Macaca fascicularis: one gene and its partners. The protein of the gene in region 7 purifies or fractionates together with the protein of the main gene of each other region. This does not show direct contact. Links are inferred from orthologs where the notes say so. Each region holds a gene or a part of one and is shown on either strand. Other genes may lie near its edges.

The links.
Region 1: the proteins of FAF2 (region 7) and UBL4A purify together in Homo sapiens (affinity purification with mass spectrometry; 3 studies listed by BioGRID and IntAct, with this or other methods). This does not show direct contact. The link is inferred for Macaca fascicularis from reciprocal best matches to the Homo sapiens genes FAF2 and UBL4A.
Region 2: the proteins of FAF2 (region 7) and SETDB1 purify together in Homo sapiens (affinity purification with mass spectrometry; 3 studies listed by BioGRID and IntAct, counting the BioPlex papers as one, with this or other methods). This does not show direct contact. The link is inferred for Macaca fascicularis from reciprocal best matches to the Homo sapiens genes FAF2 and SETDB1.
Region 3: the proteins of FAF2 (region 7) and UBAC2 purify together in Homo sapiens (affinity purification with western blotting; 7 studies listed by BioGRID and IntAct, with this or other methods). This does not show direct contact. The link is inferred for Macaca fascicularis from reciprocal best matches to the Homo sapiens genes FAF2 and UBAC2.
Region 4: the proteins of FAF2 (region 7) and DERL1 purify together in Homo sapiens (affinity purification with western blotting; 4 studies listed by BioGRID and IntAct, with this or other methods). This does not show direct contact. The link is inferred for Macaca fascicularis from reciprocal best matches to the Homo sapiens genes FAF2 and DERL1.
Region 5: the proteins of FAF2 (region 7) and AMFR purify together in Homo sapiens (affinity purification with western blotting; 9 studies listed by BioGRID and IntAct, with this or other methods). This does not show direct contact. The link is inferred for Macaca fascicularis from reciprocal best matches to the Homo sapiens genes FAF2 and AMFR.
Region 6: the proteins of FAF2 (region 7) and DERL2 purify together in Homo sapiens (affinity purification with mass spectrometry; 5 studies listed by BioGRID and IntAct, counting the BioPlex papers as one, with this or other methods). This does not show direct contact. The link is inferred for Macaca fascicularis from reciprocal best matches to the Homo sapiens genes FAF2 and DERL2.

Annotation. Positions count from the first base shown.
Region 1 is NC_088395.1:160,486,069-160,490,620, reverse strand, and holds UBL4A (ubiquitin-like protein 4A), read left to right. Parts: upstream 1-1,397; 5' UTR 1,398-1,441; coding exon 1,442-1,489; intron 1,490-1,692; coding exon 1,693-1,798; intron 1,799-2,046; coding exon 2,047-2,255; intron 2,256-2,373; coding exon 2,374-2,484; 3' UTR 2,485-4,289; downstream 4,290-4,552. Other genes in the region: SLC10A3 (P3 protein), read left to right, coding at 1-520. UniProt on the Homo sapiens protein: As part of a cytosolic protein quality control complex, the BAG6/BAT3 complex, maintains misfolded and hydrophobic patches-containing proteins in a soluble state and participates in their proper delivery to the endoplasmic reticulum or alternatively can promote their sorting to the proteasome where they undergo degradation.
Region 2 is NC_088375.1:110,286,301-110,290,229, reverse strand, and holds part of SETDB1 (histone-lysine N-methyltransferase SETDB1), read left to right. Parts: coding exon 1-626; intron 627-903; coding exon 904-1,020; intron 1,021-3,929. UniProt on the Homo sapiens protein: Histone methyltransferase that specifically trimethylates 'Lys-9' of histone H3. H3 'Lys-9' trimethylation represents a specific tag for epigenetic transcriptional repression by recruiting HP1 (CBX1, CBX3 and/or CBX5) proteins to methylated histones.
Region 3 is NC_088391.1:90,109,175-90,113,630, reverse strand, and holds the start of UBAC2 (ubiquitin-associated domain-containing protein 2), read right to left. Parts: upstream 2,946-4,456; 5' UTR 2,942-2,945; coding exon 2,524-2,941; intron 1,357-2,523; exon of another isoform or gene 1,277-1,356; intron 1-1,276. UniProt on the Homo sapiens protein: Restricts trafficking of FAF2 from the endoplasmic reticulum to lipid droplets.
Region 4 is NC_088382.1:132,671,583-132,675,511, reverse strand, and holds part of DERL1 (derlin-1), read left to right. Parts: intron 1-107; coding exon 108-203; intron 204-1,383; coding exon 1,384-1,436; intron 1,437-3,581; coding exon 3,582-3,692; intron 3,693-3,929. UniProt on the Homo sapiens protein: Functional component of endoplasmic reticulum-associated degradation (ERAD) for misfolded lumenal proteins. Forms homotetramers which encircle a large channel traversing the endoplasmic reticulum (ER) membrane.
Region 5 is NC_088394.1:52,463,430-52,467,358, reverse strand, and holds part of AMFR (E3 ubiquitin-protein ligase AMFR), read left to right. Parts: intron 1-823; coding exon 824-864; intron 865-1,026; coding exon 1,027-1,159; intron 1,160-2,910; coding exon 2,911-3,044; intron 3,045-3,929. UniProt on the Homo sapiens protein: E3 ubiquitin-protein ligase that mediates the polyubiquitination of lysine and cysteine residues on target proteins, such as CD3D, CYP3A4, CFTR, INSIG1, SOAT2/ACAT2 and APOB for proteasomal degradation.
Region 6 is NC_088390.1:5,551,313-5,555,859, reverse strand, and holds the start of DERL2 (derlin-2), read left to right. Parts: upstream 1-1,688; 5' UTR 1,689-1,714; coding exon 1,715-1,807; intron 1,808-2,652; coding exon 2,653-2,718; intron 2,719-4,547.
Region 7 is NC_088380.1:183,396,157-183,400,085, forward strand, and holds part of FAF2 (FAS-associated factor 2), read left to right. Parts: intron 1-907; coding exon 908-1,085; intron 1,086-3,683; coding exon 3,684-3,855; intron 3,856-3,929. UniProt on the Homo sapiens protein: Plays an important role in endoplasmic reticulum-associated degradation (ERAD) that mediates ubiquitin-dependent degradation of misfolded endoplasmic reticulum proteins.

The DNA of each region.
Region 1 (4,552 bases), on a different chromosome or scaffold from region 7:
CTACAGCCACCTGCTCAGCATCCATGAAACACTCCACGTGCCCATCTCCAAAATCCTGGGCACCCTGCTGTTCATCGCCATCCCCATAGCAGTGGGCGTGCTGATCAAGTCCAAGCTCCCCAAGTTCTCCCAGCTGCTGCTGCAGGTCATCAAGCCCTTCAGCTTTGTGCTCCTCCTGGGCGGCCTTTTCCTGGCCTATCGCATGGGGGTCTTCATCCTGGCAGGCGTCCGGCTACCCATCGTACTGGTGGGTATCACAGTGCCCCTGGTTGGCCTGTTGGTGGGCTACTGCCTGGCCACATGTCTGAAGCTGCCTGTGGCCCAGCGGCGGACGGTCAGCATTGAGGTAGGGGTGCAGAACAGCCTGCTGGCCTTGGCCATGCTGCAGCTATCCCTCCGCCGCCTTCAAGCTGACTATGCCTCCCAGGCCCCCTTCATTGTGGCGCTGAGCGGCACCTCCGAGATGCTGGCCTTGGTCATTGGCCACTGCATCTACAGTAGCCTGTTCCCAGTTTCCTGAGGCCTCTGGGTCAAGCTTTCATCAGCCCCAGCCCCCACACTCCACCAAAGTTCTCATGCACTATGCACTCAGAAAAATCCAGGCTTATTTTTTTTACTGATTTTTTATTCTCCAGCTTTCAGTGCCACAGAGGCCATGCTGAGTTAGGTAGGTGGGCGCTGCCCAGAAAATATATTTCAATAAAACAGAGAAGCAAGCTTGGGTCCCTTCTAATCTTTGCCCTTTGGGGCCTGGGCGTGGGGGTAGAAAGAGTGTGCTGGGTAGGTGTGGACCAGGGTGGAGGGCCAGCTTGGGTGACACGGTGACCCCTGCATAGGCTTTCTCTATCAGCCCTCCCGGGGCGTGTCCCCACTGTAGGAGAGGTGGGAGGATGAGGGCAGAGGCTGGCCCCCCACCCCCTCTCAAGCTCAGTGGGGTGTTTCGCAGCCAGACCAGAAAGGAGGAGCCAGAAAGCCACCAGGCAGGGAGCCGGGGGCAGGGGGGCCGTCTGTGGGTATGCAGGGCCAGGTTCCGCCAGCAGTAACGGCGCGTGGGGTGGTCCAGGCAGTCTGCGGGGGCGAGCGTACCTTCTGGTCCTTCTCCATTCCCTAGCTCCCAGATGACGCCAACCTGGCCCGACTAGTTCCTGCTCCCAACTCCCCGGCGCTGTTGCTTTGGGAGGGGTCCGCCGGCCAGGGCGGTCGCTGCGCGTGTGCTAGGCGGGACCCCAGGGGCACTCCTCCCGGGGTGCAACTGGGCCGGGGGGCGGGGCCGGGGCGTGGACGAGGCAGGAGGGCGGGGCCGGGAAGCGCGGGCGGCGGGCGCGCCCCTCTCGCTGCTTCCGGCGGCGGCGGGCGGTTCCAGCGCGCGCCCGGGGCGGCGGCGCGCGGCGGGGGGTGGTTGGGGTGCGCGCCGGCCCGAGTGGACGCCGTCGCGACCGCCATGCAGCTGACGGTGAAGGCGCTGCAGGGCCGGGAGTGCAGCCTGCAGGTAGGGTCCCCGGGCCGGGCGGCCGGGTCCGGCGCGCTCTCTCGCCGGCTCCTGGCAGGGTGACCAGCAGGGCCAAGGGCGGGCACGGGGCGGCCGGGCCGGGGACTGGGAGCCGGGAGAGCTGCCCTCGGGAGCGGACGCGTGGGCTTCGCCGCCTGGGGACCGCGGCCTCAACCCTTGCCTCCCACCCTCCGCGCGGCCAGGTGCCGGAGGACGAGCTGGTGTCCACGCTGAAGCAGCTGGTCTCCGAGAAGCTGAACGTCCCCGTGCGCCAGCAACGGCTGCTTTTCAAGGGCAAGGCCCTGGCAGGTACCCAGGGAGAGGAGACGCCCAGGGAGCCCCGCAGGAAGCGGGACTGGGGTGCGCGGGCCGAGGCCGGCAGCCGTGTAACGGGTTGGGGTGCCGGCGCCAAGCGCCACATGACCCCAAGGGAGGCGGCCGCATGCCTCACTGCCGGATGCCGCAGCGCTCCGCTCCCGCCGCCCGAGGCGGTCTCGCGTCCCGGGCCACCCCCACGGCGGCGGAGGAGGAGGAACCCATCGATCTGTCTTTGGCAGATGGGAAACGACTCTCGGATTATAGCATCGGGCCCAACTCCAAGCTCAACCTAGTGGTCAAACCCCTGCAGAAGGTGCTACTAGAAGAAGGCGAGGCCCAGAGGCTGGCCGACTCCCCACCCCCGCATGTCTGGCAGCTAATCTCCAAAGTCTTGGCCCGCCACTTCAGTGCGGCAGATGCCAGCAGGGTCCTGGAACAGCTACAGAGGGTGAGAAGGGTAACCCTGGGTATCCTCTCCAGGCCCAGTTCCTCCCAGCCCCTACCTCTGTTGCAGTGTATGGCTCCCCACTGGCAGCCCCTGAATCTTCCTGCCCTTCTCTCCCCAGGATTACGAGAGGTCCCTGAGCCGCCTGACGCTGGACGACATCGAACGGTTGGCCAGCCGCTTCCTGCACCCTGAAGTGACTGAGACGATGGAGAAAGGCTTCTCCAAATAGCATTCTCGGAGCATGGGGAGGTGCCCAGTGCCAGGCCACAGCAGCATGTCGCACTAAGTGTGTTCACCTGTTGCAGTTGGGCTCATAATAATAGCTGGCATGTACCTGGCTCTGGCCACGTGCTAGGCACTCCTCACAGCTTGACCTGGGTTTGCTTCCACACCCTCAGAAGAGGTGAGCCAGCACAGCAGAGGCACTGGCGGTGAAGTGGCGGAGCCCCAGTCGGAATCCAGCGGCTTCTGAAAGTGCCTTGGTGTGAGAAGGAGGAAGGGGCTGCTTGGAGAGCTGGGCTCTGGCATGTCATGTTTAGCCCACTGAGAATATACCCTCAGGTGACTCCTTCCCAATCCTGAAAGGGAAAGCAGCTGTCACCTGACCTCTGGCGGGTCCAACATAGCCTTCAGCTTACCACTGCAGGAGGCCAAGTGACAGCCAGCCCTGGAACCACCACACCCCCACCAGCTGCTGCAGCCAGTGTGCTTTCGACAAATGAAAAAGCAGGTTGGGGCCAGGGAGTCAGCAAGTCACCCCAGCTCTGTGATGTGACTTCGGGGGAGTCTCAGTGCCACTTTGGTCCCCAGCCACGGACTTTATACAGTGAGGGCCACTCCCCGACCTGAGTCAGTGTCCTTCGTCTCACAGTGCCCCCCTCCCTTCTGTTCAGTAAACAAACTGAAGCCAAAAGCGAAGCAGTGGCCAAGTGTGACCCAGAGATGGGGTGTCCTGGCCCTTAGTGACACAGCTCCTCTCTGGGCACCCTGTCTGCTTGTCTCCTCCAGGAAGCGTTAGGGCTGATGGGTGACTCAGCAAGGCAATGTCAGAACTGGGACTGGGCGTAGGCCTTTGTCCTCGTCCCCAGCACTCGCCTCCCTGTGGAAGATGAACACATCAGCCACCTGTGTACAACCGCTCACTTCGTGTGCTCCTTGTTGCCTGAGAGGAAACCTTGGGGTGCCAGGGTGGGGACAGAAACATGGGCTGGGTTCCGGTTCCTTCTCCACTGTGCCCTGTGCATGGGCACAAGAGGACATCTAGCCACCTGCTCCTTGGAGGCCCCCAGGGGTGGTAGAGGCTAGAAGGAAGCCACAGCAGGAGGACGCCACTCTGGGCCCTCCACCCTTGCCAAGTGAGCCGCTCACAGTGTGGTCGGGGCTGCACGTGCTGGAGGCCCTCCTGCCTGGGCCTGATGGGGCAAATATTGGGTCCCCGGGCTGGAAAGATGGACAGAGGCCCAATGGGTGAAGGCTTTGAAGAGCACACAGAAGCCCCTGGCCCCCCACGAGAGCTGGAGAGCCATGTATATGGCTTCAAAGCCACCTATGGCAGGGACACACTTGTGAGCATGGGCGGCCTGCAGCTCAGGTGATACATTTACCAGTGCTCTTGTTTGCGTGGTGCCAGGAAATTGATTTTGGAAAATGAAATAACATTAAAGGTGAATGTGAGACTTCCACTTTTATCCAAAAGGAGCTATATTAGCTAGGCTGTTTCTGATATCCAATCATTGGTTTAACAATAAAGGCAATTTGTTTAATCAATAACGGAAATTTCTTGGCTTATGAAAGTGAAAAGCCCAGTGGTATCGGCATTGGCAGCAGGGGAGCAATTCTTCCAGTGTCTTCCTGCCTCCCTCTGCGTTTGTGTCTGCCACATCCCAGGCCACCACCTCCAAGGATAAAAAGGTGGCTGCCTGCAGCTTCCACAGAATCCCTCCCTCACTGCCTCACTGCCAGAGCAGCACCTTCTCTGTAGCACCTCTGCTGTCTCAGATGCCTCCAGCAAATAAACACCCTTGTTGGTCGGAACTGGATTGTGCGTCCAATCATTTTGGCCGGGGTAGGGGGTGATTATCCGTCAGGGCTGGCTTCCTGGAGCTAGGCATGGGGTCACTTCCCTGGACACACATGGGCTGTGCAAGGGACAGAAGGCTCTGGGGGAGGGCTGGATGAATGGATGTCCTCAATGGTGGCAGCAAATGGCAGCTGTCCACTACAGGGGAAATGCATGTGTCATATCAGGGCCACCTTACAGGTAGTGGAGGAGAGGGCTGGAGGCATCAAGATCACAC
Region 2 (3,929 bases), on a different chromosome or scaffold from region 7:
TTAGGCTCCACAGCCTCTGCCCCAGCACCCTCAGCACCCCCAGCCCCTCCAGCACCCCCAGCCTTCCATGGCATGCTGGAGCGGGCCCCAGCAGAGCCCTCCTACCGTGCTCCCATGGAGAAGCTTTTCTACTTACCTCATGTCTGCAGCTATACCTGTCTGTCTCGAGTCAGACCTATGAGGAATGAGCAGTACCGGGGCAAGAACCCTCTGCTGGTTCCATTACTGTATGACTTCCGGCGGATGACAGCCCGGCGTCGAGTTAACCGCAAGATGGGCTTTCATGTTATCTATAAGACACCTTGTGGTCTTTGCCTTCGGACAATGCAGGAGATCGAACGCTACCTTTTCGAGACTGGCTGTGACTTCCTCTTCCTGGAGATGTTCTGTTTGGATCCATATGTTCTTGTGGACCGAAAGTTTCAGCCCTATAAGCCTTTTTACTATATTTTGGACATCACCTATGGGAAGGAAGATGTTCCCCTATCCTGTGTCAATGAGATTGACACAACCCCTCCACCCCAGGTGGCCTACAGCAAGGAACGTATCCCGGGCAAGGGTGTTTTCATTAACACAGGCCCTGAATTTCTGGTTGGCTGTGACTGCAAGGATGGGTGTCGGGACAAGTGAGTTGGTGGGGAGAATTGCTGCCCCTGCTTCCAACTTTGTTATGGTTGTCTTCCTTTTCACCTCTTCCTTTCCCTTGTATCTGTACTGCTTTCCCCATCTTCCTTTACCTCCTCCCTCACCTGGAACTCGTGCTATAAGGCCTCCATGAAAGCTATGAGGTAGGGAGACTGGAGTCTGACATGGCCACACTGAGCAACCCTGGGTACATGTGTATTGTGTTATTTTGTTCTCTGATCCCCCCGCTCCTTTCCTTTATTTCTCTCTGTCATATAGGTCCAAGTGTGCCTGCCATCAACTAACTATCCAGGCTACAGCCTGTACCCCAGGAGGCCAAATCAACCCTAACTCTGGCTACCAGTACAAGAGACTAGAAGAGTGTCTACCCACAGGGTAAGTGGTCAAGGAATAGCACAATACCTCAGAGAGACTGAGGAGCATGTTCTTGTTTTTCTCTGCTTATAGAAATCATCAGAAATCTGAAAATTGGAACCAAAAATAGAATACCAGAAGAGGCATTTTTTTTTTTTTTTTTGAGACGGAGTCTCGCTCTGTCGCCCAGGCTGGAGTGCAGTGGCCGGATCTCAGCTCACTGCAAGCTCCGCCTCCCGGGTTTACGCCATTCTCCTGCCTCAGCCTCCCGAGTAGCTGGGACTACAGGCACCCGCCACCTCGCCCGGCTAGTTTTTTTTTTTTGTATTTTTAGTAGAGACGGGGTTTCACCATGTTAGCCAGGATGGTCTCGATCTCCTGACCTTGTGATCCGCCCATCTCGGCCTCCCAAAGTGCTGGGATTACAGGCTTGAGCCACCGCGCCCGGCCTAAGAGGCATTTTATTAATTAGATCTTATTTCCTGACTTCTCAAACACTTTTTTTCTTGGGCTTTCCTTGAAATGAAGACATAGGATGATTGAATAGTGTCTAGCAATTTTCTGTTGCAAAAAAAGATTATCTTAATTTCATAGCTAAATGAATGTCTTAACAGATTATGATTTACTCTTGTAAGTGACGTGTTCAGAGAGAAGTAGGCAGGGACTTGATTACATAGGGATTTATAAACCAGAATGAAAAAAGTTAGAATCAGGCTGATACAGTGGCTCACACCTGTAATCCCAGCACTTTCGGTTGCCGAGGTAGGTGGATCACCTGAGGTCAGGAGTTTGAGACCAGCCTGGCCAACATGGTGAAAGCCTGTCTCTACTAAAAATACAAAAATTAGCCAGGTGTGGTGGCGGGCGCCTGTAGTCCCAGCTACTCGGGAGAGTGAGGCAGGAGAAGCGCTTGAACCCAGGAGGCAGAGGTTGCAGTGAGCCGAGATCGTGCCAGTGCACTCCAGCCTGGGTGACAAGAGCGAGACTCTGCCTTAAAAAAAAAAAAAGAAAGAAAAAAGAAAAGTTAGAATCAAATTCATGGTGCTCTTAGAGAATTTTAAGCAGCCAAGTGATATGACCTACCTTTTTCAGATTACTCTGGCTTCTTTGTAGATCATAGGTCTTAGGATGGCAAAAGTAGATCTTGGAAGACCAATTAGGAGATCATTATAGGAGTATAGCAGAGAAAGACATGGTTGTAGCTATGGCTTGCAATAGAATGGAGGTGACAGTAGAGGTAAGAAGGATAGATTTGGGATGCATTAATAGGTAGATCTACAGAATTGGATAGATTGTGGAGTCGGGGGAAAAAGTAGAAGCAAAGACAATTCCTAAATTTTTGACTTGAGCATCTAAGTGGTTTTTGGTGCTTTTTACTGAGATGGAAGACCAAAGGAGTAATAGGTTTGAGTGAAATTCAGTTTTTGTTTTGGCCATGTTAAGTCCGAAATGCCTGTGAGGCAATCCAAGTAGAAACGTCAAGAAGGCACTGGGATTTCTGGAGAGAAGTGTAAGAGTTGGATATAAAAATTTAGGAATCATCAGCACAGGAATGATATTCAAAGCCTGGATGAGTTCACCTAGACACAACGTTGATAATAGAGAAGGTGGCTCAGGAGTAAGCCCTGGGTCCACCAACATTTAAAGGTTGAGCAGAGGAGGTAGAACCGGCATGAGTTTGAGGACAGCTACTGAGGAGGGCAAGGCCGAAAGATTGCTTGAGGCCTGGAGTTTGAGACCAGACTGGGCAATATAGTAAGACCCTGTGTCTAAAAAAAAAAATTGTTGGGGCCAGGAATGGTGGCTCACGCCTGTAATCCCAGCACTTTGCGAGGCCGAGGCAGGCAGATTGCTTGATGTCAGGAGTTCATGACCAGCCTGGTCAATATGGTGAAACCCCATCTCTACTAAAAATACAAAAACTAGCCGGGGATGGTGGCGAGCACCTATAATCCCAGCTACTTGGGAGGCTGACACAGGAGAATCACTTGAACCCAGGAGGAGGAGGTTGCAGTGAGCCAAGACCGCACCATTGCACTCCAGCCTGGGCAAGAAGAGTGAAATTACATCTCAAAAAAAAAATGGTTGGCCAGGCACAGTGACTCACGCCTGTAATCCCAACACTTTGGGAGGCCAAGGTGGGTGCATCACCTGAGGTCAGGAGTTCAAGACCAGCCTGGTCAACTTGGTGAAACCCCATCTGTACTAAAAATACAAAAATTAGCCAGGCATGATCACGCACGCCTGTAATCTCAGCTATTTGGGAGGCTGAGGCAGGAGAATCGCTTGGACCTGGAAGGCAGAGGTTACAGTAAGCTGAGATTGCACCACTGCACTCCATCCTGGGCAACACAGCAAGACTCTGTCTCAAATAAATAATTTAAAAATAATTTTTTTTTTTTTTTTTTTTTTTTTTTTTTTTTTTTTTTGAGATGGAGTCTTGCTCTGTCACCCAGGCTGGAGTGCAGTGGCATGATCTCAGCTCACTGCAAGCTCCACCTCCCGGGTTCACGCCATTCTCCTGCTTCAGCCTCCCGAGTAAGTAGCTGGGACTACAGGCACCCGCCACCATGCCTGGCTAATTTTTTGTATTTTTAGTAGAGACAAGGTTTCACTGTGTTAGCCAGGATGGTCTCGATTTCCTGACCTCATGATCCGCCCGCCCCAGCCTCTCAAAGTGCTGGGATTACAGGCGTGAGCCACTGTGCCTGGCCTAAATTTTTTAAAAATTAGCCGGGCATGGTGGGTGCATGCCTGTAGTCCCAGCTACTTGAGAGGCAGAGGCAGAAAAATCACTTGAGCCCAGTAGTTCAAGGCTGCAATGAGCTATGATCACGCCACTACACTCTAGCCTGGGGTGACAGAGCGTGACTCATCTCTAAGGAGGAGGACAACAAAAGAGTGGAGTATAGCATGGTAAATTGGTATAT
Region 3 (4,456 bases), on a different chromosome or scaffold from region 7:
GCAGTTACCCTTTCATTGTCTTCATGTCACTTGTCACTATGTGAATCACACTGACCTGTTTGATGCTGGTCTCCTTTATCCTGCTTATTACTTTATCCTCTGTATATCAACAATGTGTGGCTGCTATGGGTACTCAACAGACACTTGTTGAATGGCTGAGAGAGAAAGGCAAGTTTAACACTAAATCACTATTATCTACTAACCACAAAACGTTAGAAACATGCAGGTGGCAGGAAATGTCAGGGATTTCTCCCTGGAAAGGGACTGTTATTCACCACCCATGGGGGTGGGGATAGGCACACGTGTCATCCTTCTTTCAGATTCTTACTCAGGATCAGAATTTTGATTTGCTAAAGGGTCCCTCAACTTATCTAAAGGAAATCATGGGCAGTGGCTCACGTCTGTAATCCCAGCACTTTGGGAGGTCGAGGAGGGAGGATCACTTGAGGTCAGGAGTTCAAGACCAGCCTGGTCAACACGGCAAAACCCCGTCTCTACTAAAAATACAAAAATAGTCAGGTGTGATGGTGGGCACCTGTAATCCCAGCTACTTTGGAGGCTGAGGGGGAAGAATCGCTTGAACCCGGGAGGTGGAGGTTGCAGTGAGCCGAGATCTGCCACTGCACTCCAGCCTGGGTGACAGAGTGAGACTCCATCTCAATAAATAAATAAATAAAACGAAGGAAATCACTTCCCCCTCAGTGGGTAGCTTCTCCAGAGAAAAATGTTAAAGCTGACACACAGCCTTTTCTAATGACCAGTCCTGGAAAACTGTGCCCAAGCTCCGTCAGCACCATAAGCACTGAGACCAGGACCTGCTCATTGCTGCATTCCCAGCACCTAGCCCAGTTCATTGCCCAGAGGAGATGCCCAAAATGTTTGTAAAACGAGCATGTAAGACACAGCCTTCTGAGGAACGGCCATCCCAACAACTCTTACACTGCAGAGGCACTTAATTTTAGAAACAGGCCAAGACAGCTGCAGAGGGGCTCTGGGCCTAGGTCTCTCCCTGGGCAACAGTTTGATTCCTAGAATTCAACACTCACCACCATGCGCCATAGATAATAAAATATTATCTTCCCCACAGTCGCCCTGTATCAAATTTGAATACACTTGGCCAATATAATCTCATGGCTAATATAGTACAGCAACCAATAACAGATTTCTCTTGCCCTTCAAATTTTTTCTATGTACTTTGGCTAGCAAGAATAGATCTAAATGCTAAAGAACAACAGAAATTGAATAATTCTACCATTAATTTCATAACCACCAGTACCTGGCTCACTGTATGATCCCAGGAAAACCACACCGCCTTCTTGAGCTGTCAGCTTCAGCAACAGTCATAACGCTCTTTATCTACAGGGTAGTTTGGGGAAGATTAGTTTTGTTTTGTTTTTTGAGACGGAGTTTCACTCTTGTTGCCCAGGTTGGAGTGCAATGGCGCAATCTTGGCCCACTGCAACCTCCGCCTCCCGAGTTCAAGCAATTCTCCTGTCTCAGCCTCCCGAGTAGCTGGGACTACAGGTATGCACCACCACACCCCGCTAATGTTGTATTTTTAGCAGAGATAGGGTTTCTCCATGTTAGTCAGGCTGGTCTCGAACTCCTGACCTCAGGTGATCTGCCTGCCTTGGCCTCCCAAAGTGCTGGGATTACAAGCATGAGCCACCAAGCCAGGCTGGGGAAGATTAGTTAGTAGTTGTAACATACTCTGGGACCAATGCATGAAAGATGCCATAAATCAAATTAATTATGAAACAAAAGGAATCATAAATACTGAAACCACTTCAAAACCTGAGAAATTGAGAAGTGAGGAAGATTTAAAATCATGCCTGTGGCTCTGATACTAACTTACTGTCAGACTATAAGACAAGACACGTATTCTCAGAAGATTCATGACATTCCCAACAGATCTTTAATATTTGGAAATGTCAGATGTTTCTGTCCTCCAGCAGCATTAACTTCACACGGAGTATGAACAGTGACAAGCAATTGCAAAATTAGAGCAGTTCTCCGTTGCTGTACCCGTGCCTAACTGTTAACACGCAGTCTACCGTACGCAAAGTCAATTCCACACACTCAGTGTCAGTGAGAAAAGCCGTTCAACTGGCTGTAAAAACACTTCTCCGCCCCCTACCTGCTGACCACCGCTAACACGCCAAGAAAACAGCAACATCCAGCAGCACAGCTGCGCTCCCTCGCCACAACTTCCTAACTTCCCTCCACTTGAAAGCACTCTCATCAGTGTTTGTTTGTCTAAAAACTCTTCTTGGAGACTGGAGAAGAAACACATCCAAGTGAAACTGAGAGGTCAGCTTCTAAAGCGGAGGCTGAACTTTGCCAAGTGGGGGCGGGGGGAGTCAATTCGGTCCCCCAGGAGCCTAAATGAATGGGGCAAGATGAGGGGGACCGCCCCTTCCTTCAGCGCGGCACACGCGCCGCAAAGGGCCTGGGGCCGGCCCACGAGAACACCAGGGCACCTGCCCACTTGCAGCGGCCCCAAGAGACTCCTGGGCATCGCACCTGGGGACGCCAGGTGGGGTCCGGGCGGGCAGCGGGGCTTTGTTCCCATTAGCCCCTCCAGGCCGAAATGGAGACGGTTTCCGCTGACCCCCCCAAGACCAGGAACTAGCAGGGTTCGGACGCCAGTCTGGAGGGTCGGCCCCACCACCTCCGGCAAACCCGAGGGTCCCCGCTGCCCCCGCCTCCTCAATGAGGTGCCCAGGGTAGCGTGCAGGGGGCAGCCAGAATGGCGGAGGCCGGTACTCACAGAGCCCACTGGAGCCGGTGCTGGTGAACATGGTCCCGCCGGGCTCGGAGCCCCCGAGGGGGCCGGGGGAGGGGAAGCTGAGGTGGGAGCCCCGGCGACCGCGCAGGCGCACTCCCGGCGGAACGACGAATCCGGCTCCGCGAGGCCACTCGCCGCGGATGAATGGCGCATGCGCAGCCAGGGGCGTGTGCCCCCTGGGTCAGCACCCTCCTTCCTGCCGGGGAAGGGAAGTGCGTCCGTAGGGGAGGGCCCATCTCTCCAGGTTGAAACGATGGCGGTCAGAGCCGCCTGAGGCAAAAACGGGTGGCACTGGGGCAGCGGAGGCGTAGCTCCCGGGAGCCTCACACTTGGGCTCAGTGCCGCCTCACCTCTAGTGGATCCGCGATGGCCGCGGATTCCTCTGGATTGCCGGCGCTGGGCAGGAACGCCATCTCTAATCTCTCCCGAGACTGGACGCCCGGCGCCTTCCCCGCGCGTTGTGTCTTTCCGGGCGGTCCCTCGAAGCTGGCTACCCCGCGGGCTGTTGACTGCAGTGGGATCTGGTCACTCAGATGCGGATGGAGGGGTACGGGAGCCGGAGAGGTGGAACAGGTCCCTCCGGGTGCGGAGAGCTGGGCCGTCCAGCCGCCTCTTTGTTCCCTCGTGGGTCCCGCGCGGAATCCCCACCACCGGAGCCGAGTGTCGTGGCCCCAGGAGTCAGCACCCTGCCCTCCCCGCCGTGGTGGCGGGTGTCTGGGGGTCCCCGGCGCGGCGAGCCCGGCGGAGCGACCCAGCACTTGTGCCCTGGCGAGCTTCCCGGAGAGCTTCCGTACTCAGACCATTTAAATTTTTTCCCCTAGAAGAATGAAGTTACTCAGCCAAAGTCACGGTTTTTAAATGAGTGTGAGCATGAAAGCATATTATGCAGTCGTTTTAAAAAGTTTTTTTTTAAGTTGATCTCGTAAAAGTAGAGTAAAAGAGTGATTCTTGTACAGAGGAGAGTTAGTGGGGAGGGAGGAAGGGGAGAGGCTGGTCAACAGGCGCAAAGTTACAGTTAGGAAGAATACGTTTTAGTGTTCTCTTGCACATTTGGATGACTATACTCAACAATAATGTTAACTTCAAAATAGTTAGAAGAGAGGATTTTGAATGTTCTCACCACAAAGAAATGACAAGTGTTTCGGTGATGGATGTGCTAATTACGCTGATTAGATCGTTGCACAATGTGTTTATGTATGGAAACATCACACTGTACCCCAGAAATACATACAATTATGTAAGAATGTATATTATGGGGAAATTGACCACACTACCCAGCTAAATGAAAGGGATGGGCTATGGAGTACTTTAAAAAAAAAAAAAAAAAAAAAAGCTTTTTCAGTGCTCATAAGTGCCAGCCAGTGTGCTAAATCTGAGATTCGTAGATCAACAGTCCCTACCCTCAAAGAGAGGTTCCAGTGGGCCAAAATGTTAACATTGATTATTTTTAGAAGGCAAAAGTATGACTTTTATTTGCTTCTTTAGGCTTTATTTGTAAAGTTCATTTTCAGTCTTTTTTTTGTTCGTTTGTTTTGAGACGGAGCCTCTCTCCCCCCAGCTGGAGTACAGTGGCGCGATCTCGGCTCACGGAGACCCTCTGCCTCCCCGGTTCAAGCGATTCTCCTGCTTTAGCCTCCCAAGTAGCTGGGACTACAGGCGCCTGACACC
Region 4 (3,929 bases), on a different chromosome or scaffold from region 7:
TACCCAGGTGAGGATTGTTGTGAAGAGGAGGGGTAAAAAGCATAGTAGATGTACACGGTTTTACGTGCCTCTGGAGCTTGGTTTTTACATGTCGACTTCTTTTGCAGTTGCTGATGATTCCTCTGATCATGTCAGTACTTTATGTCTGGGCCCAGCTGAACAGAGACATGATTGTATCATTTTGGTTTGGAACACGATTTAAGGTACTTTACCTTGATTGGAAGTGTCCTTTTCATTTGTCTTTGCAGAAATCCCTCTTCAGTCCAGAGATGTACTTTCTGACTCACCCAGAAGAGGTCACTGCAGAGCAGTGTACCATAGGCAAGCCCCTTTCTGCCCTCCTCAATCCCAGCTCTATTTAATTAGCCAACCTGGAGTCTGTTGCTGGCTTTTGTTTTTTCACTCCCTCTCTACCTCAGGCCCCTCAGGGATATGTCCCTGAGTGATCTTATGTGTCTGTGTTAGAGAGAAGGAGAGAGAACTCATGTGAAACCCTGCCTTTACAAATCAGTTCTTATCACTCCCTCATTCCCTGTTATTTGCTTTATACTGTAGCTGAAACAGACTGTTTTTGCCCCCAAACACTTCTCTTTGTACATTCTTTCACAGTTTTCCACCTGTAACATCTTGATTCTCTTTTTCGTGTAAATCCTGCCCATTCTTAATTTGAATTGGAACTGAACATATTTCCTGAGTCTCCTGCCTATACTTCATCTTACCTTTGGGCTTTTTCAATACTTTGTGTTTCTCTTTAGTACTTACCACATGTAGCTGTAAAGTTATTTAAGTATAACCCTCTCTTTCCTAGTTTGTGAAGTTTCTTGCAACTCCTTTAGCTCTTGATATGATGGCTTGGATTTGGTAAGGGGCTCAAATGTTCATCTGGAGAGCTTTCTTATTTGGGACAGTATTAGTTTAAGATATCAATATGTGATGAGATAAAAATTCAGAGTAATTTTGCAAGATATATAAAAGAAGAACTTGAAAAGATGAGGTATGTTTATTTTATTTGTAACAATTTGTTGGCTGGAATCTTAGTGTGATTCTGTCATGGGCCTTGCTTTTAGTAGCATCTGTGGGACACTCATCTGCTTTTTGAAGCTGTTTGTTAATAGCAATTCAGCAGGGCCTGTATTGCAGCAGACCTGTGGGCAAAGTACTGTGTCCTTCCAGTTACAAATACACAAGTAAGTCTAGTTTTAGATAGGAAGGTTTAAGTATAGTGGGAATAATGCTAGATTGATTTGAGAAATTTTGCAGTGACCTTCCAGAGGATTTATATAAAGCCCTTGTCAGTGTATCCTTACCCATTTTAGTCCCAGTAGTAGCTGTGTCCTCGTCAGGTGTGGCTACTCACATTTGCATATATTTATTCCATCCTAGGCCTGCTATTTACCCTGGGTTATCCTTGGATTCAACTATATCATCGGAGGCTCGTAAGTGATATTAGATTTATTTAATTGGAAACTAATCCTTGGGAAATTTCCATTAGTTTTTATCTTTCTCTAACCTTTATACAACTTTAAAGAATCCCAACATTGATGCATTAGAACCTTGTACTTATGGGATAATTTTACTTCGATGGAATTGATTAGATTGCGGGGCTTTAAGCACATTTAACATTGAATGGTTGCGATTTTGTTAACTTATTGTTACACATAGTGTGTTCCTATGTGTGTATAGGAATAAATATGTATTTCTGGATTCACTATTCAGATTGACAGAGACCTAATTTTTGTCTGAGTTGACTCCTCTAAGAGCTATGTATAAAATTACTATGTCTTATATTCTTAAGGCATTTCCAGAATGCCTTGGAGACTGCCGATCAGTCATAGAAATCCAGATTCTTAGATAGGATATAATTTTGCAAGTGGTTTCATAGTATAGAACTTTTTTTTTTTTTTTTTTTTGAGATGCAGTTTCACTTTTGTCGCCCAGGCTGGAGTGCAATGGTGCGATCTTGGCTCATTGTAACCTTTGCCTCATGGTTCAAGCGATTCTCCTGCCTCAGCCTCCTGAGTGGTTGGGATTACAGGCACCCGCCTCCACGCCCGGCTATTTTTTTTATTATTTTTATTTTTTTTATTTTTAGTAGAGACGGGCTTTCACTGTGTTTGCCAGGCTGTTCTCAAACTCCTAACCTCAAATGATCTGCCTGCCTTGGCCTCCCAAAGTGCTGGAATTACAGGCGTGAGCCACCGTGCCTAGCTGATAATACAGAGCTTTTGGCCAACCAGGGTCAAATATCTAGTCTATTGGTCAGGAATTAGAACTAGACATAGGAATACCTTTAATTCATCCAGTCAGAATTTTAAAGGGAGGGTACTAAGATGGAGCTTCTCTAAGAACTCCCATTTCTTCATATTTTCTGTTTATTTATTTACTTATTATTTTTTTTTTTTTGAGATGGGGTCTCGCTCTGTCACCGAGGTTGAAGTTCAGTGGCACGATCTTGGCTCACTGCAACCTCTGCTTCCCAGGTTCAAGCAATTCTCATGCCTCAGCCTCCCGAGTAGCTGGGATTACAGGCGTGCACCACCACACCCAGCTAATTTTTGTATTTTTTGTAGAGATGAGGTTTCACCATATTGCCCAGGCTGGTCTCAAATTCCTGACCTCAAATGACCCTCCCGCCTTGGCCTCCCAAAGTGCTGGGATTGCAGGCTTGAGCCACTGCACCCCACCAGAACTCCCATTTCTTATACTACAAACTACTTTTTAATATTTCAATCGATTTTTATAGTGCTGGTTCTTCATGTATCTGACATACTTGCTCTGTGTGATCCTGACTTCTTCTGCATATTGTTGGGGAGAAGAGAATGAATGGAGCGGACTGTTCAGAGCAAAGCATGTTCTGAACTTGGTAAAGCTGCTCTTCCAGCCAGGAAGGCGAAGTCTAAAGTAGTTGCAGGTGTTGATTTGTCCCTGACAGGAATCATGTTGCAGGTGAAGACAAACAGGATATGTAATAGTAACAGTAGATCTATACACTCTTGAGGTGACCTGTGTGTAAGCCATGGGAAAACTGAAGAAGGTCAGCGTTGATTTCAGGGTGCAAGTCAGCTTTCCTAAGTGATCTCTGTGGTGTCTTACACTCAAGGGTACAAGAGGCAAGAGAGAAGTGCTTAATAGTTCCAGGAAATGGGGAACAGGCATTTATTGTTCCTCTTTTCCTTACTCCCACGCTTCTCTCTTGGTAGCCTTCATGTTTGCCCACATTTTATCAATACAGTATTCATGACTGAAGCATTCAGAAGCATGCTTTACAACTTCCCCAACTCTTGAGGCAGGAAGTAGCAAAAACAATATTTTGAGGATGGGCTGGTGCTTGAAAGAGATGTCGGAGGGGCTGCTGGCCTTGAAGAGTGGCGGGCCTCATTGGTTCAGCAGGACTGATTTCCCGGCTCCCTCAGAATGCGTTTGCCACTCGGACTACAAAAGGGCTCATTGTCAGCTCTCACAGACTCCCAGGGACTAAATGGTCTGCCTTGAAGGCTCTCTTCTTTATGATATTAGTTAAAACTTGGTTCGTTTCACTATATTGCTTGAATGTCTTTAAACTCATTTGGCTCTCTTTGCAGGGTAATCAATGAGCTTATTGGAAATCTGGTTGGACATCTTTATTTTTTCCTAATGTTCAGATACCCAATGGACTTGGGAGGAAGAAATTTTCTATCCACACCTCAGTTTTTGTAAGTGTTTTTGTCCTGTCTCATCTAACATTTTATTGCCTGTGTTCTTAATACATCCTAATAAGAGCTCCATGAGGAGTATGATTTAGCCCCATGCCCCATCTGATGGAGTAACCTAAGGCAACAAATGACTTATCCTCGTCACATAGTCACCGGAAGTCAGGCATTAAAGCCTTGGCTCCATTGCCTTCTTGTTACTCTTTTAGCCAGGGACCACTGACAGCTAGGTTCCAGCAT
Region 5 (3,929 bases), on a different chromosome or scaffold from region 7:
CTCTTCTCTTCTCTTCTCTTCTCTTCTCTTCACTTCTCTTCACTTCTCTTCTCTTCTCTTCTTTTGCTTTTGACAGAGTCTAGGGTCTGGCTCTGTCACCCAGGCTGGAGTGCTGTGGTGCAATTTCTGCTTACTGCAGCCTCCACCTCCCAAGCTCAATCCATCCTCTCACCTCACCCTCCCAAGTAACTGGGACTACCGGCACGTGCCCCCATGTCCATCTAATTTTTGTATTTTTTTGTAGAGATGGGATTTCACCATGTTGCCCAGGCTGGTTTTGAACTCCTGAGCTTGAGCAATCCTCCTGCCTTGGTCTCCCAAAGTGCTGGGATTAAAGGTGTGATGTGGCTGGCCTTATTTTGCTTTTGCTTGCTTTCATTCTTTTTTCTGCTGGTGGACAAAGGGAGTGCACAAAGCACTAGGGAGAGAGCAGGTCCTCATGTCTACGATAGCAGTACCTGAACTATACTTGGAGTTACAGCATCACCCTTCTGAGTAATCAGTGATAGTGACTTAATGCTGTGTGAAATAGAATTGATGGTCAAACTACCAGGATAAACCTCAAGATTGTAGGGGGATTCCCAGGGGATAGGTGTAATTGGTTGTCACTTATTAACAGGACTTTTCCTCAATAAAAGTTGAGTTTCTATGTCATAAAAATATTTTATGGAACTTTGAAGCAGAGAAAATAAAATAATGGGTAAACTTGAACAATCTGCTTTTTAATTGAACTGAGAAATGTTTGTCTTTTATCATTTTATAAAAATAAGTTTGGTCTGAGCAACGCTAAATTTTACTAAAAAGAAAATATCCTTTTTTATAGTCTCTTCTTGTGACAGTGAGGACTGCACATGTGATTTTACGGTGAGTGAAACTGGAGAGGGAGGTGATTGAGGCCTACTCATACAGTTGATTTTAAGATGTAGCAGGTATGAAATATATAAAAATCTGACTAAATTACAGTATGATTAAACCAAATTCAGTTGTAACAGTAAATTACTAAGGTGTTTTCTCTCTTCATTACAGATACGTAATTCACCTCTGGGACCTCAATCACGAAGGGACGTGGGAAGGAAAGGGGACGTACGTCTATTACACAGACTTCGTCATGGAGCTCACTCTCCTGTCCCTGGACCTCATGCACCATATTCACATGTTGGTAAGTTTCCTCAGAAGAAGCTCTAACAGAGGGCAAGCCTTTCAGAATCAGGAACAGTAATGGTTTCTTTATTAAAAAATGAAACTTTAGGAATAAGATGCGGATGGACTACTTAAAAGACTAAAAATGAATGTGGCTGCAAACCCTCCCTCTTTTTGCCACTGGGTGTAAGGCAGTGCCGTGGAATTGCTTTGGCTGGTGCCTAACTCAGGAGGTGTTTGTTGTCCTGGGAGACTTAGTTAACTCTGCTGACCAAGTCAATAGATTATTCTTTTAGCATGAAAGTAAGGAGCTGCCTTTCCCCAGTTTCTATGGCTTTAAATATTTAGCAGTTACTTTGTAGGTGGTAATGGGAATTCCTGCAGTGTTAGCTACTTCATGGATTCATACATTTTCCATCTTTGTAATTAAAAAAAGTCTTTATACTTAATTCCTACATTCCTACTACCATCATTGTTTACATTTTACTTTGATATGTTAGAAGTTACAGTGTCATAGATCTGCTTCATTGGTTGGCCTTTCAGTGATCTAGTAATGGTGAGAATTAAAATAGTTGGTGGGCAGTTTATTTAAATTATAAGCCCAGTAAGTATCATTTAAAAATTATTGGGCTAGACATGGCATATTTCTAAGTCTGCTTTTTGAAAGAAACTTTGAAAACATACTTTTTAAAGAAAGCATGTAATTCTTTTTTTTAAAAAAAGAGGCTCGGCCGGACGTGGTGGCTCACGTCTATAATCCCAGCTACTGGGGAGGCTGAGGCAGAGAATTGCTTAAACCTGGGAGATGAAGGTTGCAGTGAGCCGAGATCGCACCAGTGCACTCTAGCCTGGGCGACAGGGTGAGACTCCATCTCAAAAAAAAAAAGCCTCCCTCCCCCCTCAAAAAGGGGACAAATGGCCAAAGATAACTCTTAAGATTTTTTTGTCTTCTTTTTTTAAATTTTAATTTTTTTCCTCATGCTTGTTTCCTGAAGATTTTGTTGTGTTTAACTGCTTCTTTTAACAGTTTTCTTTTTATGTATTTGAGTACATACCTTCATAAATTGAGATATTTTAGACATATAGACATATAGTTTTAAAAATGTATTATGAACATTTTCCTATGCTAGCATCAGTTCTTCTAAGCCGTTTTAATACTTTCAGGATAAAAATGTCTTCAGATAGCTGTACCATGATTTAATAAACCACATCTCACAGTGGGTTATTTAGATTATATTCGGTTGTTTGCTATTTCACATTTTTACATATTTTTTATCATGTATTAGTTTGATAAAATTAGTTATATCTTGCTTTTTTTTATTTATCTAATATAGTCTTCCCATAATTGACCTTCAGAACTGTTACATATACAAATATAATAGTGTAATATGTAGTTGTATAATATAAATAAATGTAATTAATGAGTATATAATTTTACATTATATAAGTTTACAACCTAACTGTTCTTCTGCTGGACATTTTGTTCATTTTCATATTTTCTCTTTTATAATTTCATGGATAGACATCTTTTTGCATAAAGCTTTTCCATTTCTGATGAGTTTCTCAGGAAAGATGACTGGCAGTGGAGCACCTAGGCAGACGAGGATATGCCTTGTTTAGAGTAATGAGATACATCTGTGTATTTCCTTTCTGAAAAATATTGCAGTTCACCATCGCCAACAGTGAAGAGCTTCTGCTGCATACTGCGCCTTCATCACTAGCAAGTTCATGTTCACTTTTACCGTGTATTTTACTCTCTTTCTTTCTAAGTTATTTGGCAACATCTGGTTATCCATGGCTAGCTTGGTCATCTTTATGCAGCTTCGTTACCTGTTTCATGAGGTGCAGCGTCGAATTCGTCGGCACAAGAACTATCTGCGTGTGGTTGGGAACATGGAGGCCAGGTGAGGAAACATAAGTTGATGTTGCCTAAGTTTACTCATTTTAGCTTTTTAATAACAACAGATTCCAGAGTATGTCAGAATGCATGTTTGTAAACTGCTAACAGTGGTGGAGAGGAGAGGCTCTGGAGTCAGACTGCCCGGGTGTGAATCCCCGCTTAGGTGCTGGGTGATTTGGGGCAGTTTACTTCATCTCTAAATTAGGGATGAAAACAGAACCTTCTGCCTGAACCTTTGGGAGAATTTGGTGAGATAATTCGTGTATTTAGAATAGTACTGGGCACGTAGTGCTCAGTATTAGGCTCTTATTCGTCATGATTTTATTGTCATTATTATCAAATAGACGCTTCATTGGGCTTCTGTCCTGCTCATTTCGTGAAAGTGGGTCTCAATTATTCTCTGCATATGCATGTTTACACACACATACTTAACCTCATTGAAGGAGGCACTCTTTTGCCAAGCTGAGGCTAAACCATGCCTGGAGGTGCAAGATTAATGGGTATCCTCTTTGTGCCCAGGGGGACAGCCTGGATCACTTCTTTGTGGCCAGGGACACAGATTGGATCTCTGGGGGCCTTACTTCTCTGATTTGTCTGGATATGTTCTCCGATGTCTTCACTAAAAGCAGTCATTGTTATTATTACTATTTTGGAGACGTCGTCTCGCACTGTCACCAGGCTGGAATGCAGTGGCGCAATCTCGGCTCACTGCAACCTCCGCCTCTTGGGTTGAAGCGATTATCCTGCCTCAGCCTCCTGAGTAGCTGGGATTACAGACGCCCGCCACCACACCCGGCTAATTTTTGCGTTTTTAGTAGAGACGGGGTTTCACCATGTTGGTTAGGCTGGTCTTGAACTCCTGACCTCATGATCCTCCTGCCTCAGCCTC
Region 6 (4,547 bases), on a different chromosome or scaffold from region 7:
AGAATGCACTTTATGAAATAATTTGCAATAAGCAGTACAGTCAAATCTTCTTATGGGAAGATGCAGCTAATCTTAAGAATTTATGTTTGTAGGCCGAGCACGATAGCTCATGCTTGTAGTCTCACCACTTTAGGAGGCCGAGATGGACAGATCACCTGAAGTCAGGAGTTCAAGACCAGCCTGGCCAACAGAGCAAAACCCTATCTCTACCAGAAATACAAAAATTAGCCAGGCGTGGTGGTGGGCACTTGTGATCCCAGCTACTCGGGAGGCTGAGCCAGGAGAATCACTGGAACCCCAGGCGGAGGTTGCAGTGAGTCGAGATCGCACCCCTGCACCCCAGCCTGGGCAACAGAGTGAGACTCCGTCTCAAAAAATAAAATAAAATAAAATAAAAATTTACGTTTGTAATGGCTAAATATAGAGTGGTTACAACTGTTTGGCCGTATATGTAAGGTAGGATTTCTGTTTTGTTTTTTTTTTTTGTGAGACGTGTTCTGGCTCTGTCACCCAGGCCGGAGTGCAGTGGCACAATCACGGATCACTGCAGCCTCAACCTCCCGGGTCCAAGCAATCCTCCCACCTCAGCCTCCCAAGTAGCCAGAACTACAGGTGCAGGCCACCATGCCTGGCTAATTTTCTTGTTGTTGTTATTTTTGTTTTTGTTTTTTGAGACAAAGTCTCACTCTCTCGCCCAGGTTGGAGTGCAGTGGTATGATGTTGGCTCACTACAACCTCGGCCTCCTAAGTTCAAGTGATCCTCTTAGCTCAGCCTCCCACGTAGCTGGGATTACAGATGTGCGCCATCGCTAACAACAAAAAATACACTTCCTTGATTAACTCCTTCCTTTTAATTCCCATCAGGACCTCTCTTCGGGCACTGGCTGATAAACTTCTACCGCCTCATCTTCTCTGCTAGACTTAAAGAGTTCCTGAAGGCAGAATAAATGTGGCTTGATCAGTATTTGCCGATTCAACGCAGAGGTGCCCAGGCCATCTTAGTGAGTTAAGCGAAGACCCGGCGATCGCGCTGGACAGGACCCAGAAGCCAGAGCGCCGGAACTTCCGGCCGGCTCCCGGCATCCGTCGGGCCCCGAGCCCGCGCTGCATGCTGGGACCTTCAGGTTGGAGCCCGCTGTAAGGCCGACCCACGGGCCGCCGCGCTCCCTCGCGATGCCGCCTAAGCCAGTCTCGCCCGTCCCCGCTTCTCCTCAGAGAAAATGCTGCCCTGCAGTACTTACCGGAGCGACCATGAGGGTCACGAATTCGAGCACACACAGGCTTCCCGCCACCTCCTTTAAACCGCCGCTGGCTTGCCAGCGACAGACGGCGCGGTTGGCTCCCCAAAATTCCGACTGATACGCGCCTCGGCGAGCGAAAGTAAACGCGGGATACTCTCGCGTTCCTGATTGGCTGGTTGGGGACACGTCAATTATGACAGAAAGGGGCCGGGCGGGAAAGTTAGCTGTGGCCGGCGGGGATTGGCAGAAGGAACCTGTACTTGGGGCGCTGGGGGGGGCGGTGGCCACGCAACTCGTGATTGGCGGATGTGCCTTCCTTAAGTCTCTACGGATTGGCGGCTGGCCGATTGCTTGGCGTTGATTGGGCAGCCGCGGGAACCCTAAAGCGGGCGCGGGGGAGGCCTTTGTCCCGCCCAGCCGCCGGGGCCTGCTGGCGGAAGGGGAAGTGAGGGGGGCAGGCGACGGTGGGGAAGATGGCGTACCAGAGCTTGCGGCTGGAGTACCTGCAGATCCCACCGGTCAGCCGCGCCTACACCACGGCCTGCGTCCTCACCACCGCCGCCGTGGTGAGCAGCTGCAGTGCCACCTTCTCATTATCTGGGCTGGATATGACTGGGTCTTCAGGAAACTGGGGTTTGGGCTTCGGGGAGGCCCAGAGGGGCTGGTCCCGGGGATGGTTGGAGACGTACAGGGATTACTCTGGGGTTCGAGTTGGCGCCGAGAATGCTTATCCAGTGACCTGAGAAGGGAGTGCTGCTTCATGGGGGGTCAGGTCAGTTTCTAAGAGATGAGGGCCGGACCTATACCGGGTTAGGGTTGCGGGAGCCTCCCACCCGAGAAATGTGTCCGAGAGCTCTGCCAATGGCCAGGTGGTACCGTGGTGACTAGTGAGAGGAAGGTCCGTTTTATGAAGAAACAGGAATGAGGAAAGCAAGGTGGAAACTGTCCAGAGGGGAGTGGCTTATAATAAAGAGGGTCTCTGGGTAACAAAGGGCTAGCTGGAGGTACCCAGCCCCAACGGTGGCAGGGTCTCGAGTCTCCGTTATTTCAAGTGAGTTTTGTTGTTTCACACGGCTGTTTCAGGTGGTGCCCATGTGGTGGGTAGATTCATAGCAGCTGTTTTTATTTGTCCTGTGTCTAAAATATCACCACCTGTCTGCCTCATTTCTTCATGTCAGCCTCAACTATTGCAACATAAACTTTTTTGTGTTAGGTATTGAGGATACAAAGAATTCTACCAATTCTAGAGAATTCTTTACCAACCTCTTCCTCTGGCCTAAGAAGAAAGGCTTAAAGAAAATCAGTAATTGACCGAGAGTTGGAAATTGCTAGACCTACTAATCCTTTGTTGTAAATGATGAAATTTTGTTTCTTGGTTGATTTGCTTTAAGAAGCTCTTTTTCTATTTCAGCAGTTGGAATTGATCACACCTTTTCAGTTGTACTTCAATCCTGAATTAATCTTTAAACACTTTCAAGTAAGTGGTTCATCACAATAGTGATTAATGCTTCAGTTTCTTCTTTTACTTACTGTTTAGTAGCAAATCCCGTTGTACACTATCCTAAAAAAGAACCCCATGGGGGACCTTTGATTATAAGTTGTCTTGTCAGGATGTAAAGCAGTGATTCTGCAGCCTGGTTGGACTTGAGAATCCCTTAGGGAACTTTGAAGAGATTCCCAAGCTCCTCAACAAGTACCAAATCAGAATTTGCAAGGGTAGGAATTAAAATCTGTGTTTCATTTTTAAAGTTCCCTGCATCGTTTTGATGTGTCCAGTTCCTGTATTCGGAAATCACTGGTTTAGACTTAATGTTGTAGTATGAGAGGAGAGTGACCAGCTAGCTGCTTAGGGGTTGTCTCTGCAGGGATGGCCTTATTTTGTCCATTCACCACCTAGGCACGCCCACCACCTTGGTGTTATCATGATGGTCCAGAAACTCAATTCTGTTAGTGCTTTTAAATTGTGATCTGTCTTCCAGTGATCAGATCATACTAACAAAATTCCAAACATCTAAAGCTATGTGGTGGTTTATTAGATTACAGTGGGAGATGGTCCTTTCCGGTGATTAAAATGTCAAAAGAGGCTGGGCGCAGTGGCTCACGCCTGTAATCCCAGCACTTTGGGAGGCTGAGGCAGGCAGATCACCTGAGGTCAGGAGTTCGAGACCAGCCTGGCCAACATGGTGAAGCCCTGTCTCTACTAAAAATACAAAAATTAGCCGGGCGTAATGACACATGCCTGTAATCCTAGCTACTGGGGAGGCTGAGGCAGGAGAATCACTTGAACCCGGGAGGCGGAGGTTGCAATGAGCCGAGATTATGCCAGCCTCTGAGACAAGAGCGAAACTCTGTCTCAAAATGCTAAAAGAAACATGGATTTTTCTGTTCCAAGATGATCTTACAGACCATAGTTGGAGTAGGGGAGAGACCCAAAAGCCAATAATTGTGCCTCTACACATGCTGTTCCCTCTGTCTCAAATGTGTTTCGTTCACTTTATACCCATTGAACTCTGGCTTGCCTTTCAAAACGCAGCTTTTGTGTAACCTTTATGTACTCATCCTCCTTTGTTTTAGAGCATCTCTCACCTTTACTTTGCAGTTATGTGTATGCTTGTCTCCTCACTAGGATGAGGACTCTAAAATCTGGGTAATTAATATGTAGAACTGAATTGTTTCAACTTTAATAGTTACCAATTCTCAAGAATTTAGTGATTTGTAAAGTAGTCTTGTCATCTCTTGTCACTGTGTTCCCACAATACTCACATGGAGCTGTAGTTCCATCCAAGTAAGTCTTGCTTCCTACTTGGCTTGCTTGGTTTTACTCTGCCTGGGGTTAAACTGTTAAACTCTTGATGACATTTGGAGTTAGGACTTTGAGATTTGCCATCAGTCTCCATCTACTCCTGCGGGTCCTTGGTCAGGACATTTAAAAGTTCAACTTTCAGCTGAGTAACTAGTGTTCAGCTAGTAGTTCAACTTTTAGCTGAATAACTAGTATCAGCTAGTTATTCAACTTTTAGTCTTTTAGTTTCCTATCTGTGAATTAACTTGCTTGTCTCACAGAATCACAACAGATAGTAGACATTTTAAAATGTTAAGCACTCTACCATTGTGAGTGGTTACTGTGGGTGTGGAGAGGTTGGGTAGGGAAGGGTGTATCAGGGTTTCCAACAAGAAAATGAGTGTTTGGCCGGGCGCGGTGGCTCACGCCTGTAATCCCAGCACTTTGGGAGGCTGAGGTGGGTGGATCATTTGAGGTCAGGAGTTTGAGACCAGCCTGGCCAACATGATGAAACCCTGCCTCTA
Region 7 (3,929 bases):
TTGGTTCACTGCAGCCTCCACCTCCCGGGTTCAAGTGATTCTCCTGCCTTAGCCTCCCAAGTAGCTGGAATTACAGGGATGTACCACCATGCCCTATTAATTTTTGTATTTTTTGTAGAGATGGGGTTTCATCATGTTGGCCAGGCTGGTCTCAAATCCCTGACCTCAAATGACCCAACCACCTCGGCCTCCCAAAACTGCTGGGATTAAAGGTGTGAGCTACCAGCCCAGCCTCAACTTTCTATTAATAAACTTCTTTGGAACAGAAAAACTAACCTTTTTACGGGTAGAGAAAAGATACATGGGGAGAAAGGGTAAGGAAAGGATTAGGCAAGAGAAAAAAGACTATGGTGGAGATTATCATCAGTATCATCAAGCTGAGACTTGCAGCCTTGTGCCCTTTTAGGTTTGAGCCCTTGTACAGGGAAAAACTGCCAGATTCTTTATAGATCCTTTTCCTACCATCAAGTAGACATTATCCTTGAACTCTGCAGCCTTCCCTGGCATCATCACAACAACCACACCGCCACCAGGAAAGCCTGTCTTATTCTAGTCAAGCACCTAGGGATAGGCATGCAAATTGATAACAAAAACAAAAGATTACAAAACTGGGAGGAACTAGGCATGGTGGCACACGCCTGTACTCCCAGCTACTCAGGAGGCTGAGGTGGTCAGGTCACTTGAGCCCAGGAGTTGGAGACCAGCCTGAACAACATAGTGAGACCCTGGCTCAAAAAAAGAAAAGAAAGAAAGAAACTAGGAAGTGGGGAAAGGCAGAGACCAAATGATACCTCCCGTCTTCCTCAACCAGGATTAAAATAGTTCTCTCTCACTCATTGTGAAAAGTCTAAGGTTGATCTTTTTCACCGTCAAGTCCTGCCCTTGATCTGTTGGGTCTTTTTGTCAGTCTCACAGGCTTTACGAGAGAACACCTATCCATTCCTGGCCATGATTATGCTGAAGGATCGAAGGATGACTGTGGTGGGACGGCTAGAAGGCCTCATTCAACCTGATGACCTCATTAACCAACTGACATTTATCATGGATGCTAACCAGACTTACCTGGTGTCAGAACGCCTAGAAAGGTACAAGGGAGTTCCCTTCTGGAACAGAGAGAGACCAGTTGTAAATTTGGAGGGCTGACCTGGGGCTCTACCAGTACTGACTTCTTCTGTGCATCAGGCCACTGTTAGCTTTTAGCTTTGCCCATTTATCGTCAAAATATTTACATAGTTTGACCTAAATTACTCTATATCAGGTAATCTGTTCTTAGAGATGTTCAAAATAAAGACAAGGGCTGGGTGCAGTGGCTAACACCTGAAATCCTACCACATTAGGAGGCTGAGGCAGGAGGATTACTTGAACCCAGACTGGGCAGCAAAGTAAGACCCCATCTCTACAAAAAATAAGAAAAAATTAGCCAGGCATGGTGGTACATGCCTGTAGTCCCAGCTACTTGGGAGCCTGCGGTGGGAGGATTGCTTGAGGCCAGGAGTTGGAGGCGGCAGTGATCTCTGATTGTGCCTCTGCACTCCAGCCTGGTTGACAGAGCAGGACGCTGTCTTTAAAAAATAAATGAATGAATAAACAAAATAAAGACAGGCCTCTATGCTCAAGAATGTACATTGTGGTATTTAGAATAGCCGAATACAATATAAAGAACTTTGATGTAAAAAAAAAAAGTGGAATGGCTATAATTCCTCTCCATTACATAAGTTATGTACATTAATTATAGGAAATCCTAAAACCACAAAAAAGCACAAGGAAGAAATTTAAAATCACTGATAATCCTGCCACCACTTGAACATTGTTTTTTTTTTTTTTTTTTTTTTTTTTTTTTTTTTTTTTTTTTGAGACTGAGTCTGGCTCTGTCGCCCAGGCTGGAGTGCAGTGGCCGGATCTCAGCTCACTGCAAGCTCCGCCTCCCGGGTTTACGCCATTCTCCTGCCTCAGCCTCCCGAGTAGCTGGGACTACAGGCGCCCGCCACCTCGCCCGGCTAGTTTTTTTTTTGTATTTTTTAGTAGAGACGGGGTTTCACCGTGTTAGCCAGGATGGTCTCGATCTCCTGACCTTGTGATCCGCCCGTCTCAGCCTCCCAAAGTGCTGGGATTACAGGCTTGAGCCACCGTGCCCGGCTTGAACATTGTTATATATTTTTTTAATTTTACACACAACACACACCCCTCTATATGTACACATTTATTTGTAAAATTGGGACAATACTTTTTTACAACCCTTCTTCATGTAAGAATGTATCACAGCCTTTTCCCTCATCATTAAATATTCTGCCACATTTTAAAAATTACTGCATAACATTCTATTATCTAAATACATCATAATTTAACCAGGCCATTCTTTTTGGATTTTTGGATTACTTTCTGTTTGTTGCTATTATAAATAGCATACATGGAGATAATTTTTTGCAATTTGTGATGGTTTCCTTAGATTAAAATTTAAATTCCTGAAAGTACAGTTTCTGGGTGAGACAATATAAGTATATGTTTACGACTTTTGATTTGTAATGCCAACTTGCCCTCAAGAAAGTTAAACAAACTTAAATTTATGGAAAGCTTTTAATAACATGGGGACATGCTTGTTACATATTAGAAAAATGCAGAATCAGGCCGGGCATGTTGGCTCATACCTGTAATCCCAGCACTTCGGGAGGCTGAGGTAAGAAGATCACTTGAACTCAGGAGTTTGAGGTCAGCCCGGGCAACAAGGTGAAACCCCATCTCTACAAAAAATACAAAAATTAGCTAGGCGTGGCGGCACACGTCTGTAAGCTGAGGTGGCAGGATTGCTTTAGCCTAGGAGGTTGAGGCTGCAGTGAGTCATGATCGCACCACTGCACTCTAGCCTGGGTGACAGAGCAACACCCTGTCTCCAAATAAAAGAAAAATGCAAGGTCAAAACCCTATAAATATAGTGTTATTTTAACTGTGTAAAAAAATGTATAGAAGAGGAAACTTTCTGAGGTAACTGAAATGTTCTTTCTTGATTGAAGTGGTGATTATGTGGTTACATTTATCAAAATTCATTGAATTGTACATTAAGACCTGTGCATTTCATTGCATGTAAATTTTGTCTTAATTTTTAAAGAAAGTATAAAGCAAGAATGTTTTATCTGTTCAACTATTTTGATTGGCTAAATATTTTGGGTAAGACAAAACAGAAATTTGTTGGAGAGAAAATAGGAGCTATGCCAAATGTTATATAGTGTTTTATCTTTGATTAGGGAATCTCTGAATCACTCTGAAAACTCTACATTTTCAGATCTGCTACAATGTGTATATGGATGTATATGTGTGTGTTTTGGTTTTATGAGATCAGTACAAAAATGCAGTAACCCAAAATATGATGTTGATGATCCCTTCATAATAACAGTACTGTGTTACATTTGTTAGAATTAGGGGAAAAATTTTATTGTAAAAGAGGAGAGGACAACTTGCTGTTTTCTTTTCTGCCAAATTAAACTGAGATAAAAGGTGGCTTATTCAGATTCTGCCATGCTTTGCTTTTGGAATCCCTTATGGCAGTGTGAAATAGTCATCTGCTAAGAATATCACTGTTTTTACACACACACACGCATGCACACGCGCACACACAGAAAATTTCAGTATAAGAAAACAGAACTTGTGAGAGTGCTGTTTTTCTTCTCTTGCTTTTGATCTGTTCACAGGGAAGAAAGAAACCAGACCCAAGTGCTGAGACAACAGCAGGATGAGGCCTACCTGGCCTCTCTTAGGGCTGACCAGGAGAAAGAAAGAAAGAAACGGGAGGAGCGGGAGCGTAAGCGGCGGAAGGAGGAGGAGGTGCAACAACAAAAGTTGGCAGAGGAGAGACGGCGGCGGGTAACGGACCTGTGACTTTACTCCCTGTGGTTCCCAAACTGCCGAGACTTTGCCATCTTGGTCTTAAGTGTAAA